Linked DNA regions of Drosophila melanogaster. The protein of the gene in region 1 interacts with the protein of each later gene in a pairwise test. Each region holds a gene or a part of one and is shown on either strand. Other genes may lie near its edges.

Region 1 (7,619 bases):
GTGGGAAAATGTGGTGACGGGCGGCGAGCGGTTGGGTGGTGTTGCTGTTTTCTTGCCGCTTGTTAGACGTTGGCTTTGGCGATTTGTTTGCATGCCATTTCTTGCTCTGCTTTCGTTTTTTATCATCCCGCCTGCGTTTCCCGCCTCCGTTTTTAATGCAAAATCAATCGGATTGCGCCCAGCCGAGCATTCTAAACTAAAAACTGTTCGCGTGGAATAAGGCGAAGGTTGCGGATTGAGGTTGCTTATTAAACCGCTTGTTGCGTTCAATTACAATTTTTGATTTTATTGATACGAGTACTTGACACGAACATTTACAGGGATATGCACTGGCTTAGCTCTAAAACATTTAAACGTTAAAATTATTGTTATCCGTTTTGCTTAAAATGTTATTTTCTCTGTACTGAGAGCGTGATATTTTTGTCAACCTTTTTAACTCAAAAACACCTAAAGTAAGTGTGCTTTTCATAGCATATCAAAGAAAGATTCTAGCCATCTTTTTAGGTGGTTGAGATTCAATGAAATAACTGAAAACTAAACTAGTTTCTTATTCTGCAGTAATAACACATGAATTCACCAATCTCAACCTATCTTAATCATAGTTAAAGCACGATTGTGGTTTAGGTTTCGGTTTGCAGCCATACAACTAATGTGAACTGCTTGTTAGGCTCACACATAACCACTGGACTCCAGTTTGATGGCACCCTCGTATGTGGGCAGCCCCGATCTATCGATGATTTTGCTCATGTCCAGGCTGATGATTCCATTCTCGTTGATGTTGTCCAAGTTCTGCTCCTCTTGCTCCTTCTGCTGGCCTGTGGCCAGCTCATCCTCCCCCGATTGCCCGTGGGATGTTGCTGGTGCGTCGGAAGTTGATGGTGTGTCCGATGTTGCTGCGTTGTCGTTTTCATCGTTGGCAGCAGTTATGGAAAAGAGCACGGCATCATTTTGAGGTTGCTCATCGAGAGTGGCGGCCAGAAAATTGCCGTTGGCCTCATCCTGCAGATCGTCACCAGAAATGTGGTTGCCATTGCCATTGTCGATGTCGCTGGGGCAGGGGCAGATAGACGGCTCATCCTCCTCCCTGCGCCCGCCCATGTTCAGACCGCTCTCCACGGACAGAGCGGTCAGTGGTTCATCATCGACCTCACCTTCATAGCGGAACTTGCCGCACAGCGGACAGCCACGCCGGTAGTGGTTTGCACTATGCTGATGGCTTTGCTGCAGGTACCGCCGTCCGAAGGTGTTCAATCTGACATTCTGTGCCGGCTTACGTACCTGCAGCGTCTCCATTTCCAGGCAATTTCCGTTCCGGGCAGCCACCGCCGCCGCAGCAGCATTCCACATGCTTTCCACCTCGGCCCGCTGCAGCGAGCAGCAGGATTGGGCATTTAGGGCCAGTTGCAACTGCTTGTTGACCAGCAGGCCATTGGAACCTCCTGGTGCGCACTGCACACTGCCACTGGCCACCGCATCCACACTGCCATCTGGTGTGCCGCGACCGAAGCTCGTTGCCGGCTGGCCGCTGATGTCCAACGAGGATCGGTATCCTGGCGGCGGCGAGACGCGTTGCATCAGCAGCTGTTGCTGTTGCTGCAGTTGCAGCTGTAATTGCTGTTGCTGCTGTTGCTCCAGCTGCTGCTGGTGGAGCTGCTGTTCGTGCAGCACCACTGCATCGTACGAGGGCGGTGGTTCGTGGTGCAAGGCGGGCACGGCGGACAGACCATCAGTGGAGTCGCCTAGGAACAGGCCAGAAGTCTCGTAGCACTGAGGGATTAAACGAACAATTAAAATCGATTAGCAGGAGGATAAAAGAGGAATTTGCAAAGATTGTAAGGTTTGATTTTCTAAAAGCAATGTAATTTTTCCCTGATGTGGAGCTGGTATATAACTCTCAAGGTCGTGACTAATTGCCGATCTCCGCTTGGTCGCTCTGTAAATTACTTTCTTAATGGAGACGCGGTGGACAAGTGAAATTTACGCGATCAAATAAAAAGTTTAAATTGCACACATCATAAATTTATTTGTCTCTGCCGCGCAATCTGCAATCCCATTCTCATTCCTATTGCCACTCCCATGCTCCCGTGCTAGAAACCCGCCTTCTTCTGTCCGCAGTTGACATCTGTGCCTGGCCAGACTAACGTTGATTTACGTGGAGCCTTTTGCCGCCACTTTCCCCCCACCCCCCTTTCCCAGCGGGCCAACAAACAACAATGAACTGAATGATGGCCTATGGTGGGGCTGGTGGGTGGTTGGATGGTTGTTTGGTTGGTTTGCGGGTTGGTCGGTGGATTGTGGGCCGAATGGGAAGGCGGCTCGTAACCTAATAAAGAGCACGGCCAAGTGAGTGCGACTTCTGGGCCACTTGCACTGGCTTGGCTGGCTGTATGGCCAGCCGCAATTGTCGCGCCCTTTTGGTCAACTGAACCCACTTTCCCCCGGATGTGGCACCTGTTAAATGCGGCGCATAAATATCCATTACACTCCTGCTGCTCCATCCTCTCCCGCACTTTCAGTTTTCGACTTACTTTCAAACTGTCGCCACGAAATGTTGGCTTACACTTGAAAAGGGACAATTATGGCCGGATTGTGTGTTGTTCTAGCGCCCAAATGCCTAAAACATCAGAATGGTGGATATTATTATTATTATTATTGTGATTTCGGCCACCAATTGGAAAACTGGGCTGATTTGATTGAAGCTGAAAGCTGAAATCGAAAAAACTAAATTGTTTGCTTGGAAAGTTTGTTGTGTAGTTTGCTTAATATCATATATGTATATATTTGCACTCTTTTCAGCCAGCACTTAAACTTAATAGTCGCTAATTGATTTTTAGCATTTGATCGCTTTGAAATTGTATTCGTATTGACAAAAGCAAATTGACAAGCCAATCACTGATAAATTGCCATTCATTTAGGTATTTAGCATGCTTTGAATCTGGTTAATGTAAGCCTAGGACTTGTATAACTTTATTTATTTAAGAGCCAGACTTACTCTCCCATTTTTCACACACGTTTGGAATGTGTGCTACTTATTTGAACCACCAAAGAGAAGTAAATAGCACATACTGCCATTACTGGATATGATTAATAAAATTCTGGTTTCCCCCGAATAAGCAATGATGTCCGTCGTCCACTTCCATTGTGGCCCAACTATCATCCACTTGGAATGCCGTTGACATCCGTTTGCAACTATGGCTGGGTGGACAACAAAGCTCTCTGCCAGAACCCCGGGCATCATGGACCATCTATGCATAGGCTTTGAGCATATACTCGTATTAGCTCCTCCAACTCACCTGCTCCACGCTGTATATTTCCATGTTGGGATCGCCCTCGAGCCACTGATGCTGCTGCTGCCTGTAGGCGGCCTCCGTTCGCTTTTTGATGTTGCGATGGCAACAATAGCAGACCACACACAATATAGTCGTCACCAGGGAAAGCATTGCTCTGCAACAAATTAAATCGAACGGGGATGTGAATGCAATGCTATTCATTGAATGTTATAATGTTATTCCAACGACGAAACAGACATCAGGCCAACATTCAAACATATTTATTTGCTTTGGCTGGTGACACGAAATTGATTGCGGGCCTTCGATAAATGACCAGTGCGATAATAACGTATTAATACGCATTCGGTATTTATTAATTTTGCCATACAAATTGCTAGTGCTTGTATGTTTATTTATATTGGGTTGGCTTTGCCAGCATTTTGATAGCATAAATTTGCCACGAAATATTGACATTTATACATCATGGTAGCGGAAATTACTCTTCTTGCCTTCTCGGTTTTAATTAGATAATGCAGTTTTGGCTTTTAATTCGACTCCCAACTCATCTTGCAGCCAAACAAAGGGCAATTTCAATGCTCGCAAGTATGAAATGTAGAGCATATTGCCAATTATCTCGATTTAACTAAGCTGCCACAAACACACACACACACACACACACATTTCAAATCGGCTTGGAGAATGTGTGTGTTAGCCTAATAATATTCCACATTTCGCCTTTTGTCTAAAGAGCTAATATTATGGATTTATCAAATTTTAATTGTCTGTCGTTAGGTGGCTTAGAATAGTCAGATTATGTCAAGTGCTTTTGTTTATTAAACAAACACAATATGCCTTGAAATTTGGTCAACAAATTCCCCATAGCTGGTATCAGTGAATTCGGAAAGGTGTAGCTCTATCTGTTCCTTAATTCGTCAATAAATCCGAAATGACCCCACCACTATCAACTGGATTGCCAGTTATCAAATTTTCCTTTTAGCGCTGTCGGCCAATTTATGTCGGTTTATTGAAACCCACTGGTTTATTTGGTCGGAAATGGTTTCGTGTCGTGTCGATTTCGTAGCTCCAGGCATTTCCATGACGTCACTTAATCCACTTTAGAATGCAACATTGTGTCCCACTTGTCTGTTCACTGTCTTCCACTGGCCCACGTACGTCCTCCGATTTTTCTCTCGCTCGTTTTTTTTGTTTTTTTTTTTTGGCTGTTCATTTTTCCCGGTTCACGCAATTTCTCGCATGTCAACAGTTCATTAGGGCCCTTTTTTTTGGGGGGCTCAGCTTTTCCGGCCTTCCCATTCCGCAGCGACGAAAACAGACAACAGCGATTTCCCCCACTCCGGTTTTTTATTTTAGCTATTTTCAATGAACTGCCCAAGACAATCGATAAAAAAGTAGTTAAAATAAATTTTTTTTTTGGCTTGTGTGGGTCGCGCGTGATGTTTGCAGACACTAAGAAAACCCCATAAAAGCGTGTTTACAAAACCTCTTTGTTGCTCTGCGGTTACTCCGAAAAAATAGAATAGCTCGTGTTGCACATGAAAGTTTTTTTTTTTTTTTACATTTTATTAACAAGCAAAGCCAGTGCTAGGATGCTAGGGTTTCGACGAAGCAAAACCGAAAGTAAAAAAATGCCCCGGCACAATTATAATTATGATTTTCAGCGCAGAAGAGCGGAAGCCTGACATCTTCTCTTGCTGTTGATGCTTATTAATTCGCAGCTCCTTCCCATAAATCAAGTGGTGCCAGGCATTATGATCTATGGTAGTATCTTGTAATATGCTTCTTGAGTGTTCTTACCAAAGGGGTACTTGCTGCAAACATTTCACTGGAATTTTCAAGATGCTCCTTGTTGTCGAACGAAAACTTAGTGGTTAGCTCTGATTATTGAATGGCAAACTAACTTGTGGCAGTAAACTATTAGCTGGAATGACAGCCACATTTCGTATGAATTATCTATATGAAATGATTGCGGTATCCTTTAAAAATACTGAAGAGAGCTTCTTTAAAATGTAAATACTTGAACAATTCCGCTCTCGTTAGCTGCGAAGCCAATTGTTTTGGGCGAACTTTCTTGGCAACTCTAATTAATTAATTGCCAAATGACTGAGGGGAATGCTCAGCTATTTGCCAAAACTTCCAGACACTCTTTCGCATTTCCCACGGGCCAAAAGGTGACTTAACTTATCGCTTGAACTTCGCATCAGTCGTATGTTCCAACTGGCAGGACAGACTTACCCGCCGAGCAGCAGATTCACATTGCCGTTGACAACATTTGCATATGTCTGGGGTCCACTAGGTCCTCCGCCGCCACCGACGCCCGAGATGACGGATCCGGAGCCACTGCGCTGCTGGTGATATTGCCCCAATCCGCCGGTGTAGTAGGTGGTGTGTGTGACAATCGAGGAGGAGGATGAGACATGCTCCTGGGACTGCAGCTGTTCCTCGCTGACGAAACTTCCAAACGCTGACGAAGATGATGATGGCGGCAATGGTGGTTCCGTTGTGGAAACCAGCGATATTGTTGTGGCCGGGATTGTGTGATTCTGATTCTGATTTTGACCAAAGGCCAGCAGAGTTGCATAACGTTTGAGAGACATTTCACTGCGAGTGGAAATCGAGCCACGGCGATTGCATAACGATTAGCGCGGCGCACTCATTACATGGCCATTAGCACGCACACTTCAGCCCCGAAGGAGGCGCATCTAGCCTGGCTAACAGCGAATACCTCGGCTCTAGACCGCAGCAAGGACGAAAGGCGACTGCCAGGAGCTAGCCCTCGCAAATCGACGAGCCGAAGGCTACGGCGACTTCAGCACGACAGCAGCACCGAGTCAAACATAAAACTTTGGACTAAAACTAACACAAACACTAAACGAAACACAAGTTTAATACTTTTTTATAAAAGTTTCCTTGACTTGTCATATGTTTAAATATTTATTTTCGAATTTCATACAAATTTATGGATTAAGTAAGTTTGAGGATATATTTCATTAATATCTTCTTAAAGTTTATTTATTTTCTTTTAATAGTTTTCACAGTTGAAATTAAATTTGCGTCACCTTTATCTATCATATGTTATTATTTATGTAGTATTATGTACATATATATATTATTTTAATGCACTATAATCATGAACTTGCAAAGAGGTTTGGAATTCGATACGATTTTTTCCTTTCTAAGGAATTAACACTTTTTCATAGCCACATTGTTTGCATAACTCAATGCATTTAAAACTTTAAGCCATTATAGCCTTTTTTTTTTCTGAGTGTAACTGGTAGAACGATCGATGGCCAAGGCAAGTCTATTTCCGTAACTCTTAGTTTTGGCCGCGAACCGCGAGTTGTGCGTCTGGGCAAATGCGTTGCGCTGCTGCAACTGAGCTCCGGCTTGACTTGCTGACTAGTTTACTGGCTGGCTGGCTGGTCGTCCTGTCCCGAGGACTTTGGCTTGGCTTATCCTTTTGTTGTGAACCCGACGAAGTTGCCTTGGCAACCGAACGGGCCAGCCTTCGGCTTGGACTCAGCACTTCGGCTGTTTAGCTGCTGATGTCTGTGGTTACTTCTGCTCGCTGCTGCTCGCCTGTTCCACGTTGCGTTGCCCATTTTTCTGTGGCTTTCCCTCTCCGGTTTTTCGGGTTTGGGGTGTTCGGTCCGCCGGCACTGGTGGGTGGCAAAAGGATATGTCGACGACAAAGGACAGGCAGAGCTATTTGTATTGAGTTTCCCCGTACCCAAGTTCTCCTTCGGTTTCCACACGTTTCACGTCAAATTGAGCGCCAAATGCTTTTGTATGCCCGTATGGTTTGTCATTATTGCTGCTGCTGCTGCTGCTGTTGTTGTGGCAACCGTGCATGCCATTTGAACAACACTTGTCGCCAACTGACATTTTTCACGGCATGCGGCCATAAATAATAATGCGACTCAGAAGCAACAGTCCATGCCGCGCATATTGAGCATGCAACATGCTGCTTCGCGGCACACGCTGCGTATGCGTGATGCAGCAAAAAAAAAAAAATGCAAGCCACTTATGTTGCCGAAGGGAATTCAACTGTTGCATTTATATGCACTTTTAAGAAACGAATTGGTTGAGAAATGTTAAGATATGGGTTAAGAAGTGTGTATCATTAAATGTAAAAATTCTACGTTTAGTAGAATCTTAAAGATAAAGGTGAACGCATGAATGCCACTTAGCATAATATATCGTTGAAAACACAATGCAACCACAATCGTTCTTGATGTGCCCCATATATTAGACATCTCACCATATGCAAACAGCTCGCCAAAAATCCGCCACAATATTGTTGCTAAATGTTGAACCAATTTCCGCATAAAT
Region 2 (4,758 bases), 590 kb from region 1:
TGCCAGCGGAAATGGAACGATCGCCACGTGGGGCACTGTATCCGGCTTCCTGATCATGATGTGTCTGGAGGTGGCGCTGTCGTGAGGAACGAACGGCTCGCCTTCGCCCGCCTCGCAGATTTCATAATCTAGTGCTAAACTCAAAGATTCCACTGTACTTAACGCAAAACTCTGCTGTCTTGTAAATAGAAGCATGCTGTGTACAAATCTCAGAACCAGCCCTAAACGAGAATCTAATAATCTAGCGTAGAGTGTAAGTTTTGTAGAAAGAAGCTTGACAACCAGCGATGCCGCGACGACATCCGTGCAATTGTGTATCTGTGCACACGTATCTGTACAGCATTCCCAGCGAGTTATGTAAATGAACTGTTCTAGGAAAATTTGTAAACAAACGTGCATGTGAATTAGGTTTTAAGTTGTCACCGGCGTCCAGTAGCTTGTGTCTTTTTTAACCGTCTAATGTCTAAGTAATAAACTAAACGAATTCAAATGAACATCTCTCAGTTGCACCCACTCGCTTTTTTCCCTCACAAATGTAGCTGTCTCCGTCCGGACAACTTCCTGACCGTTTCTTTGGCCGTACGATAGCTGATAAGGGCAAGTAAATTCACTTAGATAACCCGGAGTGCCAACAACAACAACAGCTGGTTGACTCGCTGTCAGCCAGTGATAAGTGATAAGAATCTGTCCGACACGAAGAGTTCCCAATATTGCGCGTATTCCGTGTTTGAGATACGTGCAGTTTCAGACGGCCCGCGGTCCTGCGTTTCTGTTCGCCATTTTCTGGATTAACTAATCATTTCAGATATGTATGTTTGTACTCGCACAAGTGCTTTGGGCCACAGTCCACCCACTGTGATCGTGGTCATCAGGAAAAGTGGTCGATAAGACCTCTTGCCGGCTATCTGTTGTACAATTTCCATATAGTTCTTTATGTGCGCCATAAAACCATAAACTCGGTATGAATGGCCTATTAGTTGGGGGCATATCTCAAGTGGAGTTAATGCTTCTGTGTCCGCAATGCCATAAATTGATAGTGTCAACGATTAGACTAATTAAAGACCTATTTCTTTTGTAATCGAAGTGTAAGTTAAAGCTGCCATTTCCAACCAAAATGTAATGCAGAGTTGATGAACTCGAAAGTACATTGTCGTCTTAGATCTGATAAAGCTTTTGGGAAGTTGTTAGGCCTAACAAATAATGATATGATAAGAATATTAAAAGTTGTATGAAGACCTTGATAAGTCAACTTTTAATATCTACGTACATACAAGCCTATTTTTGCAATGTGTTATTGGGTATTTTGCAGTGAGCTTAGTATTATGAGAAGGCAAGCTAAATTATAAAGCCGAATGGTGACAATTAAAAGTTATCTTCTTAAGCCCCATTTATCCCCATTTGAATATATAAATAAGATCGATGATGCAACAGAAGCCACAATTAGTAATAACTTACCGGCATTTTGCCAAAGAGCTCGGGATACTCGTACATGCGTATATTGCTGATTGGAAATTGCTTGGGATCGCATATTTTCAGCTGCACCTTGCAAGCTTCAATCCACAGAATGGAAACGACTGGTATATTCCACTCGGTGGCCTTTTTATAGGTGGAGAGCAGGCCATCCTTGAAGACAACGTGTGTGGTGGTTCTACAAGCCAAACGAAAAATGTTTAATTGAATATATTTTAGTCAATCAATTGTAATCCCTTAGCTTACCGCGTTAGGCGATCTTTGACCTGGGCTCCCATCTTGGCAATAATTGATTTTACGCCCTCAGAGCGATTGTCGTTTCCAGTTCGCACCTCCACATATACGACTATGTCCTTGAGCAACTCGGGGAGGGAGGGCGGCTCCTGGGGATTGCGTTCTTCCATCGTGATGATGCTTTGTTCGGCTAAAGGCACATCGAAGGTATTGTATGCCGACTTGGTGGGGCTTCTAAAAATGTATACAATGTAAAAGCGAATGCATTTTTTTTATTATGATCAGTTTCTTCTCAAATCAGATTAGATTGCATTGCAAAACAATAATTAATAATAATAATAATCAATACTTGGTTTTGGCAAAAAAACCTGGCTTGTTAATATAATAGTTATTGATGGATATGGAATTATTAGGGATTGCATCTAAAGAATCTAACTTTACAAAATTAGCGATAAAATGGCTATAAAAGGATGGATTAGTCAAGAATCTGAGCTGTTTTCACTAGTTGACCTTTAGGTTGTATAAATAACAATTGCAATAACCAATTTTTGTCCTTACTTTAATGCACGAATGGCGCGTAATCGGAGTGCAGCGTTGGGGCTGTTGAGATCTTGCTGCAGTCGGGCCCAGTGTCCTTCCTGCCTGGTTGGCGTGGCTGCTCCGATGGGTGGATCTGGTTTTGCTGCAGATCCTTCTGCTCCCGCCTCGTTCTCGTCCTGGTGGAACTCGGAGCGGTGCTGGCTGATCGCTTTGGAGACGGCTAATGCCGGCTTGAGCATCAGCCGATCCCTGGCCGCCTGGTCATCTAGCAGGAGGGAACGCAACTTGTTAGTAATGCTCGGTTCGTTTGTCGACATGGTAATCTGTTTTTTTTTTTTTTTTTTGAATACTACGAATTTTGGGTGAGCTACGTATCCGGAACTAAAACTACTGGGTTGGGTGTTCAAAATGTAAAATAGGCATGCACAGCCAACCTGCCGGGGCCTGGGATAGAGATTTGGGAGACGGTGCCGCTGCTTTGGACCTGAAGTCGCCCAGATTTGAATCGTGCAACGGTCGGCGGGTCGATGACGCCGCTGTTTTCTTGGCAGCTGCGGCGGAACTGGCCACGACCGATCCGTACGTCTTCGTCTTCCACGTGGGATTGCGCAACAGAAACTTGTCCATGGTCACGGGCTATGTTCTCCGCACTCTGGCGCTCCTTATTGCAATGAAGTCGGTCGCAAAACTCTGCAAAAGAGGCGCCAATAATTTTCTAATCCAAACCTCACAAAAAGTGCAACACAATGTGATAGTGTGACCGGGTAACCTCAATGCTACAAGATCACTCACTGGCAATCGGTTATCGTTCTCACCGAAAATCGATTGTTTTTATATGGTCTCCGTTTAGTACATTAAGATTTTAGTTCGATGACGAATTTGGCGGCATTTTATTATGTATTTAATTTAGGAGACAAAAAATCTTGTGATAGCGCAGGTTTACTTTTCACCACCAATGTTTATCTTAGAAAGAGGCAAAGCAGTTTAATAAATTTTAAGTTCCGATATTTAAACACAATTAGTAAATGCAAAAATGTCGGAAAATATATATAGATATAGATATGTTTAAATGTTCTCGTAAATGAAAATCAAACTACACACAATTATACAAAATACCTTTATTATTCAGTTTCAGCAGCGTAGATTGTAACCCGTTTAAAGTAAAACACTTATATTGACTTTCATAACTCTTTTTTAATGCGTACTAATATCGATTACATGTTTTTAATTTGATCTTATTTACATATGAAGTGTATGTACAGAAAAATAATAAGAAAATAATAAATTGAACTTGCCTAAAGTAGCAATTAATTTGCATATGACATTATCTGCCCCCATCCTGAATCTCAGCCAAACTCTCCGTGCGCTTATCGTGGGCTCTAGGACATTCTCTCAGTCTTAAACGATTTAAGAAACTATGGCAAAATTTTAATTACTCATTACAAATTGCATAATCATTAAATCTCTCTGCTTGACTTAAAGTTAACTGCGGTTAATTAGAGTTAGTGCGTATTAAGTGACGTACGCTAAATGGCTGCATTTCGCTGCATTTATCACAAAACTGAGCGAAATGCACTCCACAGTGATCCAGTGAATCGATGATCCTTCACTGACCAAACTTAATCGTAGGCTTTGACTAAATAATTTTAGAATTAACGCTAGACGATGAATAAATTAGGGCCAGCCAAAGTGATCATTCTGAAATGGCGAAATGTTCTGATTAACTGAGATACACTTAACAAATTAAGTGGTCACTTACCATGTGCGCTGATCAGACTACGTGCATCCCAGAGGGACATTTGCGACTGGGAGAGACGGTGCTGCGGTGGATACAGTTTGTAGGGGAAGTACGAGTGGTGGAATGTGGCAATGGGAATGGGTTGCGCCGGCTGCAGGAACTGCTGTTGCTGGTGCTGTGCCGAGATCTTCCGCGAGATCTTTGGCTCCTTCTTGGGCTTGCTGGCTCCTCCAGGGCACGGCTGCTTCGAGGACTTGATGAAGTTGGGAATACGCGCCAAGAGTCCGCAGTAGTACGGATCATCCTGCTTCTTCCGCTGCTGCGACCCGCTGCTCTTCTGTCGCTTCTTGTCCGCATATATGGGCGTCAAAGATCCGCCAGATTCGTAGTCGGGCTGCAAAGTGTAAAAAGCAAATAAGAATTATTAGGCTAAGTTTTTTTTCCCAAACAGGTTAAAAGGTTTGAAGTCCCAAATTTTTCAGGTAGAATGTAATCTAGGTTAGAACCCACCTTGGGCACATATGGACCCTCGTTGAGGAAGGCGGCACTAAAGATGCTGCGCCGTCCCTTGCTGGAGTTGCTCGAGTGCTGGGAGTTCTGGGAATCATCCGACGCGGCGGGCGTAGGATAGATCAATCCCACTTGGCTTTCGATGGTGGAGTATGGATCCTCGCTGCTGTTCGTCAGCGGCACTCGCATGCCCATCGCATCCAGTGACTTGGGAATCGTTTGGAGGCGGCTCCTCAGCATGTCCATGGCCACCACGTTGACCACGA

What was found. Proteins that work in one complex are often made in the same cells at the same time.
Region 2: the proteins of s-cup (region 1) and MCPH1 interact in a two-hybrid assay, tested with the Drosophila melanogaster proteins (one large-scale study listed by BioGRID).

The regions. Positions count from the first base shown.
Region 1 is NT_033778.4:12,494,103-12,501,721, reverse strand, and holds s-cup (stanley-cup), read right to left. Parts: upstream 6,051-7,619; 5' UTR 5,885-6,050; coding exon 5,523-5,884; intron 3,445-5,522; coding exon 3,294-3,444; intron 1,768-3,293; coding exon 670-1,767; 3' UTR 263-669; downstream 1-262.
Region 2 is NT_033778.4:11,900,903-11,905,660, forward strand, and holds the start of MCPH1 (microcephalin), read right to left. Parts: upstream 3,017-4,758; 5' UTR 2,872-3,016; coding exon 2,679-2,871; intron 2,637-2,678; exon of another isoform or gene 2,562-2,636; coding exon of another isoform or gene 2,510-2,561; coding exon 2,263-2,509; intron 1,939-2,262; coding exon 1,717-1,938; intron 1,649-1,716; coding exon 1,456-1,648; intron 493-1,455; exon of another isoform or gene 86-492; coding exon of another isoform or gene 1-85. Other genes in the region: Zip48C (Zinc/iron regulated transporter-related protein 48C), read left to right, coding at 1-85; reb (rebuf), read right to left, coding at 3,938-3,942, 4,004-4,376, 4,493-4,758.